Canis lupus familiaris: one gene and its partner. The protein of the gene in region 1 interacts with the protein of each later gene in a biochemical or structural test. Links are inferred from orthologs where the notes say so. Each region holds a gene or a part of one and is shown on either strand. Other genes may lie near its edges.

Region 1 (4,012 bases):
ATTACATTTCATAGCCTATTTCTTCATGTTTGTGATACATGCATGATTAATTCTACTTTTGTCAGTAAAATTGAATCTAAGAAATGCTGGCTTTTCCTAAGATTAACTCAAGCTAGTATTTAGTAATGAAAACAGGGATGTCTGGGTGGCTCAGTGGTTCAGCATCTGCCTTCAGCTCAGCGTGTGATCCCAGGGTCCTGGGATAGAGTCCCACATCAGGCTTCCCATGGGGAGCCTGCTTCTCCCTTTCTCCTTCTGTCTAGGTCTCTACTCCTCTCTCTGTGCCTTTAATGAATAAATAAAATCATAAAAAAGAAAACATATATATACACACACACACATATATATATGTGTCTCCATACCCAGTGTGGGGCCTAACATGGGGCTTGAACTCATGACCCTGAGATCAAGAGTTAGATGCTTAACCGACTGAGCCACCCAGGTGCCCCTAATGCAAACATTTTTAAGGCTATTATCAGCAAACTATTTCAGAAGAAAAGTATTCCAAATACATTAACAATAATTCAAATTAAACAATAATTGGAACCATTTAGGAAATGACTTTTATCCAATTTTTCCATTTTGATATACCTAGATACAATGCTTCACAACATAAATTTATGCAATGTGCTTGATAAACTTGAGTATGTTCACCATTAAGTGAGATGAAAAAAAGTAACTTTTAAGATTAACTTCGAATAAGTTCTTCCCATACTTTGAGAAATAATATTACTCTCACTGGAAAGTGTAAAATGAGTCTTTTTCTAAACACACCAGATGCCACCTAATGCAATTTTCTGTATCACTCACAGTATCTTCCTACCTCTACCATAACAGACTCAAAGGATGAATATAGTCCATATTATGAACTGAACCAGAAAGCAAAGTATTTAAGAATTAACAGCATTTAATAATAGGAATTAACACTCTTATCAATTAAAATTTGAACCCAGATAAGAAAAAAATCTTATAATGACTCAAAAAATTTTTAAAACACCCCAAGTTCCTAGGTAACAAAAAAGAAAGGCAATAATATAGAATTGAAGTATGGTATAACAACTATTCAAAAATGGATGTTGTTCTCGGTTTTAGGATAGACTAGAGAGAACAAATGAATCATCACTCTATTGACTCTTTCCTGCTCTCATTCAACATCTGTTTACAGCAGCTACAGCCAAGTTATCTGCAGCCATGCAGTTTTCAGACAGAATAAGAATAAACATGTCCTCACTATCCTGAGACCAATTATCCAGGTGCAATTAGAATGAGAGGATTTTTGGTTAGACAATACCTGAAAGGCTATCTAGTTTACCCTGCCTGTATTTAAAAACAAGACTGAGGCTCAGAGAGATTAAGTGCCTAGCAATTCAAACAGCTATTTAAAGGCCAAGCAAGGTCTCCAAACAATTTTTCTCAGTTATTTCTATTAATATGGGTTAACTCTGAAGGTATGAACCACTGATTCTCCTTCTGAGATGGAATGGGCCTTTGGAAACTTACTAGCTGTGTGATCTTGAGCACACAGCAACTATTCTAAGCTCCCCTTTTCTCTTCTGTAAAGTGTACCAAATACCTACTCTAACCAGGCTGCTGTGAGGATTACATACAGCTTGTAAAATGCTTAGCACATCAATTAGCAAATAATTAGCATTCAAAACTAGGTAGCTATCATTTTTACTTCTGCCCTGGAAACATGGCTGCCCCTACTGTTTGAAAGAAAACGTGTTCATTAATACAATGGACAGGTTCTCATTCACCAGAGCTTCTCTGACCTACCACATTATGCAAACAGGAGAAAACCCCACTCAACAACCTACTTCATCCCATCTAAAATCCACCCTTTACAATATTAAGAAAACAAAATACCAACTGCTGCCAAATGTCTTCTCCACCTGTTGTACGTTGAATTTGTCAACTAGAAATTGCAGGGTATTTTTCTGGCTCCGCCCAAAACATGGAGAATAAATGGGAAAACAAGGGGAAGATAAGGTCACACACCTGTAATGGAATTCACAGAAGCTTCTTCTCAGCTCATTTAGTTGTGAGTAGATAGGTGGGTGACAGAAAGCAAAATGCTGTCTTTCAGCATCATAAAGCAGGAATGGCTACCTCAACAAAATACAATTCCCTAGGCTTTTCAACACAATAGAAAAGAATCCGTGTCCTCGTCCTAGTATATTAATAAGCACACGGGCGATAACTGGGCATCTTTCCCGAAAAACTAAGGACTAAGTCGTATCCGAGCTGCACTACACCCCAGGACTACATAAATACATGAAAACTTCCTAAGAAAGGGCGAGACAAAATAATGGGGAATATCACCCTGAAATCAACGAGGAGGGAATCATGTCGCGCCAAAGGCGTCTCCATTGGTAAAATCCCGACCTTCCATTCTCATGACACCACAAACCCACCCCCCTCTAACGAAATTACAGAATCACCCGCAGCAACCAACCTCAGCATCTGCATCGACCAGATCGACCCCTACTCAAATGGCGCTAAATACGGTGGGTCCAGCCCCTCCCTGGAGCTTCGAAGTCCCGCGCTGACTCAACACTACCTCACTTCCTTCCCATCCTCCCTCCCTTCCTCAACCCCTAGTATTTCTCCCCAAGCCTCGCCATGGCAGAGAAGGTAGGAAGGAGACAGATTTCCTACACTTCGTTAGGGGAGTACCAGAGCCACACATACCCGTCCCTATTACGATCACATCAAACTCCGAAGGGAGATTATCCGCCATCTTGAAAGGAAACGTGTCATGTGACTACTGCTTGTGGAAATAAGATCTAGTAAGGCATTGCCCTTGTAAAAGACGGAAGGAAAAACAATGCATTCTGGATATTGTAGTTCGTGGGTGGCCGATCCAGGTAGGCGGCTACATTTTACTTGAAATGTTACGTGAATGTTAAAGACGCAATTTATTTTCTAGGCTGAGTGTAGTAGCGCATTTAGCCTGGAGGTTTGGGGTAGTAATGAGATGGAGATTTTTACTCCGCTAGATAGGATGAATGGGAAAACCTGGGGTTTTTTTTCCCCCCCATGAAGCAAGAATTGTTGGTTTATATGAAGGCCGGACTGAAATTGAAAGAGGATTGCTCTGTGAACAAAGGAAATTTTCATTGCGGCCTGGAAACTTGTTTACTCCCCCGTGTGTGTGTACTTTCGTTTTGTCCCCTTGAAACATAATTTTTCACACCAGCCCTTTCAAACTATCCCGTATCTTTTTAGTCTCCGTGTCTCCCCAATGAAAACCCACCAAAAAACCTCTTGCCTTAGTTTTGTCACAATGAAACCTAAATTGCATCTGTATTTGTTCTAGTTAGTCCAAGCAGCCACCCGGCAGTATATTTTTACAAAATTAGCCTTTCTCTACAGGACGGAAAAAAAGATATGAAACATAATAGTTGCTTGATAAGCATTTAAATGGTTCTGAGTTTGGTTTTTTATACGTATACAAGGAGTCCATACAAGATTTTTTTTTTATTCATAAGAGACACAGATAGAGAGGCAGAGACAGAGGCAGAGGGAGAAGCAGGCTCCACGCAGGGAGCCGAACTTGGGACTCAATCCCAGGTCTCCAGGATCACGCCCTGGGCCAAAGGCGGCGCTATACCGCTGAGCCACGGAGCTGCCCCCATACAAGATTCTTATGATAAACTGCTGCAGAAGTAATCAAGGTAAAATGACCTTTATATTAAAGTAATTGTGTTTGACAGGGGGGCTTTAGGGGTCATTGTGTAGTCATTTTACAAGAGTTTCAAAGAGAAAGTGCTAGTAGTAGACCTTCCCTTACACCAACAGTCCTCTGAACTGTTTGTGGTTTCTCAGTCACAGTTTTTCCTTCAGCATGGAATGATTTTCCCTTTCTCTAGCTAACATATCCTTAATATTCAGCTCAACTTCTACCACCTCCTCCTTTTATCTCCTCCGTATGTTGGATTAAATTTCCCTATGTAGTGCTAACACCCTATCATAGCCTCCCATACTGCACTGAAATTATTTGCATTTATGG
Region 2 (3,500 bases), on another chromosome or scaffold:
TGTATATTTCAGTGAGTGATCACCTCCCTGTATTTCCATCACTCCCAGAAAGTTCCTAGAGTACTAGATCTTAAGTTTTCATCCTGAACGTTACATAAATATCTATTCGTGTGACCACCACCCATGTCAAGATAAAAAGGTTTTGTAACAGAGTTCAGACTCAGTGTTAGCCCTTGCAGAACATGTACTCACACATGCTCTCTCTCCCGGGCTGTTTGGGATACTCTGGTGCTGTACTCTGCTTCCTGAATTCTGAAATCTGACTTTGCTTATCTCGGAGTGGCTGCATGATGCAGCTCGTTTCCTCTGATGCCCCTCACTCCTAGTGCTGTGCCCCTGAAGGGATAATGTTTTTGTCTCTCGCAGATCTGGGACACAGCAGGCCAGGAACGGTTCCAGTCCCTTGGTGTGGCCTTCTACAGAGGTGCAGACTGCTGCGTTCTGGTATTTGACGTTACTGCCCCCAACACATTCAAAACCCTCGATAGCTGGAGAGATGAGTTTCTCATCCAGGCCAGTCCCCGGGATCCTGAAAACTTCCCTTTCGTTGTGTTGGGAAACAAGATTGACCTCGAAAACAGACAAGTAAGTGCTAAAGATAGTGGGAATCCTAAATGTGGAGGCTCATGAATCTACCCTCATTAGGGTCTTCTTTTAAAAGTGGCAGCTAAGTTTCAGATGACAGGTACTGTTTTTAGTTTTGATTGGTAAAAACCCATGTGGCTTAAGGAGACCAGCATCCAGTATCTGTGTGTGTGTGTGTGTGTGTGTGTGTGTGTGTGTGTGTGTGTGAGAGAGAGAGAGAGAGAGAGAGAGAGAGAGAAGACCCCACCATGGGGGGAGAGAAGGAGGGATGACTTAACTAGTTTCCTGCCCAGCCTTGGAATCAGGCCTTGCTTCCTAATCTACTAAAGGCATACTGTTTTTGCTGAGGGAAAACAGAGACCATGAAAGTCTGCAAGGGTACAAAGTAGCAAATCCATTTTGTGGAGTTGCCCATACTAGCCATTGTTTTGGTCCTGCTGAAATAATTTGACTTGAGGCTGGTTGCAATCTGCATTTTGGTCTTTTGGATTTAAAGGCAAACTTGCATTTAAAACCTGGCTCAAAAAAAAAAAAAAAAACCAAAAACAAAAAACCTGGCTCATGCACTTTTAATCTGGGAATATTTCTTGGAGTCTCAGTCTTGACTTACATGACAAGAATACTCAATGACAAGAATACAAATGACAAGAATCAGATGACTATACCCAAGAGCCCTGGCACCTAGGAGCAGCTTGGGAAATGGTGACTTTCTAGTTGACCGTTGCTGTTTTCCTCCCCTCTGAGGGACACTGACTTCTGAGTGACTTGTGGTTTCGTGGGTTCTGTGTGAAGTCCAGAAGGGCTCTAGAAAGGTACCTGTGGGAATATGAACTACCTTCCGGCCAGCTGCCTTTGAGGGCAGGGGCCCAGAAGATCTGGTTTAAATCCCTATGCTTTCTCTGCCTGGCTATGACTTTGGGCCATTGCCTTTGCCCTCTGAGCCTCAGTTCTCCTTCTGCATTTGAAGGAATTAGATTTTGTCATTCTTGAGTGCTCTCCTGCCCCTCAGGGGCCTGCCTGGATCTCCATGTGTGCAGAAGATTGCACTCTGGGCTCTGAGCAAAATTGCTCTGGTTTACTTTGAAATAACATTTTTCTTGGGAGCATAGACTCTTAATTATAGCTTGGTTTATTTCTGGCCATTGATCTCTTTTTCTGCCTTTCCTAGGTGATGGTCTTCTCGTGCCTGAAAATGAACTAGGGGTAGGGGAAGGAATTAGGGTAGGAGAGGTAGGGGGACAGTGAGAGCTGCAGAATTCTTTGGCAAGAGGGTGTGGTACAGGTGGTGTAATACTAGCAGTAATGAGGAAGATCTACTGCAAACCTTAAGACCAAGCTGCCGGGCATTTCCTGGGTTGGGACCTCTGAGGTCCCAAGAGAAACGATTCACTACTTCTCAGGCTGCTTATTCCTTTCACCGTTGTCTGTAAGTGTAGCTAGGGGTCAGAAACTATGGATTGTAGAGTGGGCTTGGGTTTGAGGCCCAGCTGTATCACACAGAGCTAGCAACATGACCATGGACAGGTCTGCAGCTCCCTTCCTCCAATCCTGCACACCCTCATCCCAAGTTTGCTCCCTCCCCTGTGCTACCTGTATAGCCTCGGTACTGTGACCTTTCCTAGAGAAGGTACAGTCCATGCTCTCTGCTTCTGTTAAGAGCATACGTACATCTTGCTTCCTCTTCCAGGTGGCCACAAAGCGGGCACAGGCCTGGTGCTACAGCAAAAACAACATTCCCTACTTCGAGACCAGTGCCAAGGAGGCCATCAATGTGGAGCAGGCGTTCCAGACGATTGCAAGGAATGCACTTAAACAGGTGGGTCTCTGGCAGCTGTCTGGCTCCCTCTGGTGACTGACCATCAACCCAGCCCCATGCCTGGCTTTCCTGTCCTTAATCTTTCTTAGTGCTTTTTCCTGTGTAGCCAGAAGAACCCGTGTTGTTTATCTGGGAAGGTAATGAGACGTTCTGCTAAAGCTTCTATAGAAACCCTACTTGTTTGTGAATAATCTATCCAATGCAGAGGCAACAAAGGCAGGCTGAAGCCACCATTATTTGGGTATGTTCTTTATTCTTCAGGAGGCCCTTGGTCTGGTGGTTCCTTCTACCAAAGGAGGGGATAAACTTGAATTCAAATCCCAGGTCTGCTACCCATCATTACGTATGTTTTTTTGTTTTTGTTTTTTGTTTTTTTGTTCTGTTTTGTTTTGTTTTAATCATCTCTGCTTCCATCCCCTCATCTGTCAAATATGAATACTGGCTTTGCAGAGTGGTTGTGAAGATGGAATGAGATGGGCTCACTCTTGGTGTTCTCATAACTGGTTCTGTTTGATCACCAGAAGGAAAGCTTAACCAGAAGTTCTAGGAATTGCATTCCTTGAGTGAGATTTTCTTTCTTATTTATGTTGTTTACTCAGCTGTTCCCACAAGAGACCGTTACCTCTTGTTGGCATGAGGGAGTTGAAAGCTCTCTTGATTCAACAGCTCTTTTGGGGCCAGTGCATTAGGGCAGATCATGAGGCACCATCAGTCATCTGTGGTGGTCAGACTTGGGGAGTGGGTGAGGGTCAGAGGTGAGGTGCACGCCAGAAGGCGCGGCAAACAGGTAGGAAGCATGTGTTAGCTGTAAAGGGCACAACAGGTTTTGCCAGATCTAGGAAACTGGGATTATAGAAAGCAGCAGTTCTTAGCAGAACAGGGCATCTGAACCTGTGGGAAAGGAAGTAACTGGATTGGGTTGTTCCAAGAGCTGGAGGCTGCACCGCGTGTCCCCTGATGAAAGGAATCAAGCCTCCCGAAATGCTGGGAGCCCCCACTGAGCAACACTGATAGCAGGATGCAGGTCTGAGGCCTTTGCTTCCCCCGTCCCCCTTCTTTTAACCCACCTTCACACTTAGGTCAGTAACCCAATGTGCTT

What was found.
Region 2: the proteins of CHM (region 1) and RAB7A are reported together in a solved structure, tested with the Homo sapiens proteins (2 studies listed by BioGRID, with this or other methods). The link is inferred for Canis lupus familiaris from reciprocal best matches to the Homo sapiens genes CHM and RAB7A.

Annotation. Positions count from the first base shown.
Region 1 is NC_049260.1:67,086,421-67,090,432, forward strand, and holds the start of CHM (rab proteins geranylgeranyltransferase component A 1), read right to left. Parts: upstream 2,801-4,012; 5' UTR 2,741-2,800; coding exon 2,692-2,740; intron 1-2,691. UniProt on the Homo sapiens protein: Substrate-binding subunit of the Rab geranylgeranyltransferase (GGTase) complex.
Region 2 is NC_049241.1:2,796,813-2,800,312, forward strand, and holds part of RAB7A (ras-related protein Rab-7a), read left to right. Parts: intron 1-366; coding exon 367-585; intron 586-2,272; coding exon 2,273-2,401; intron 2,402-3,500.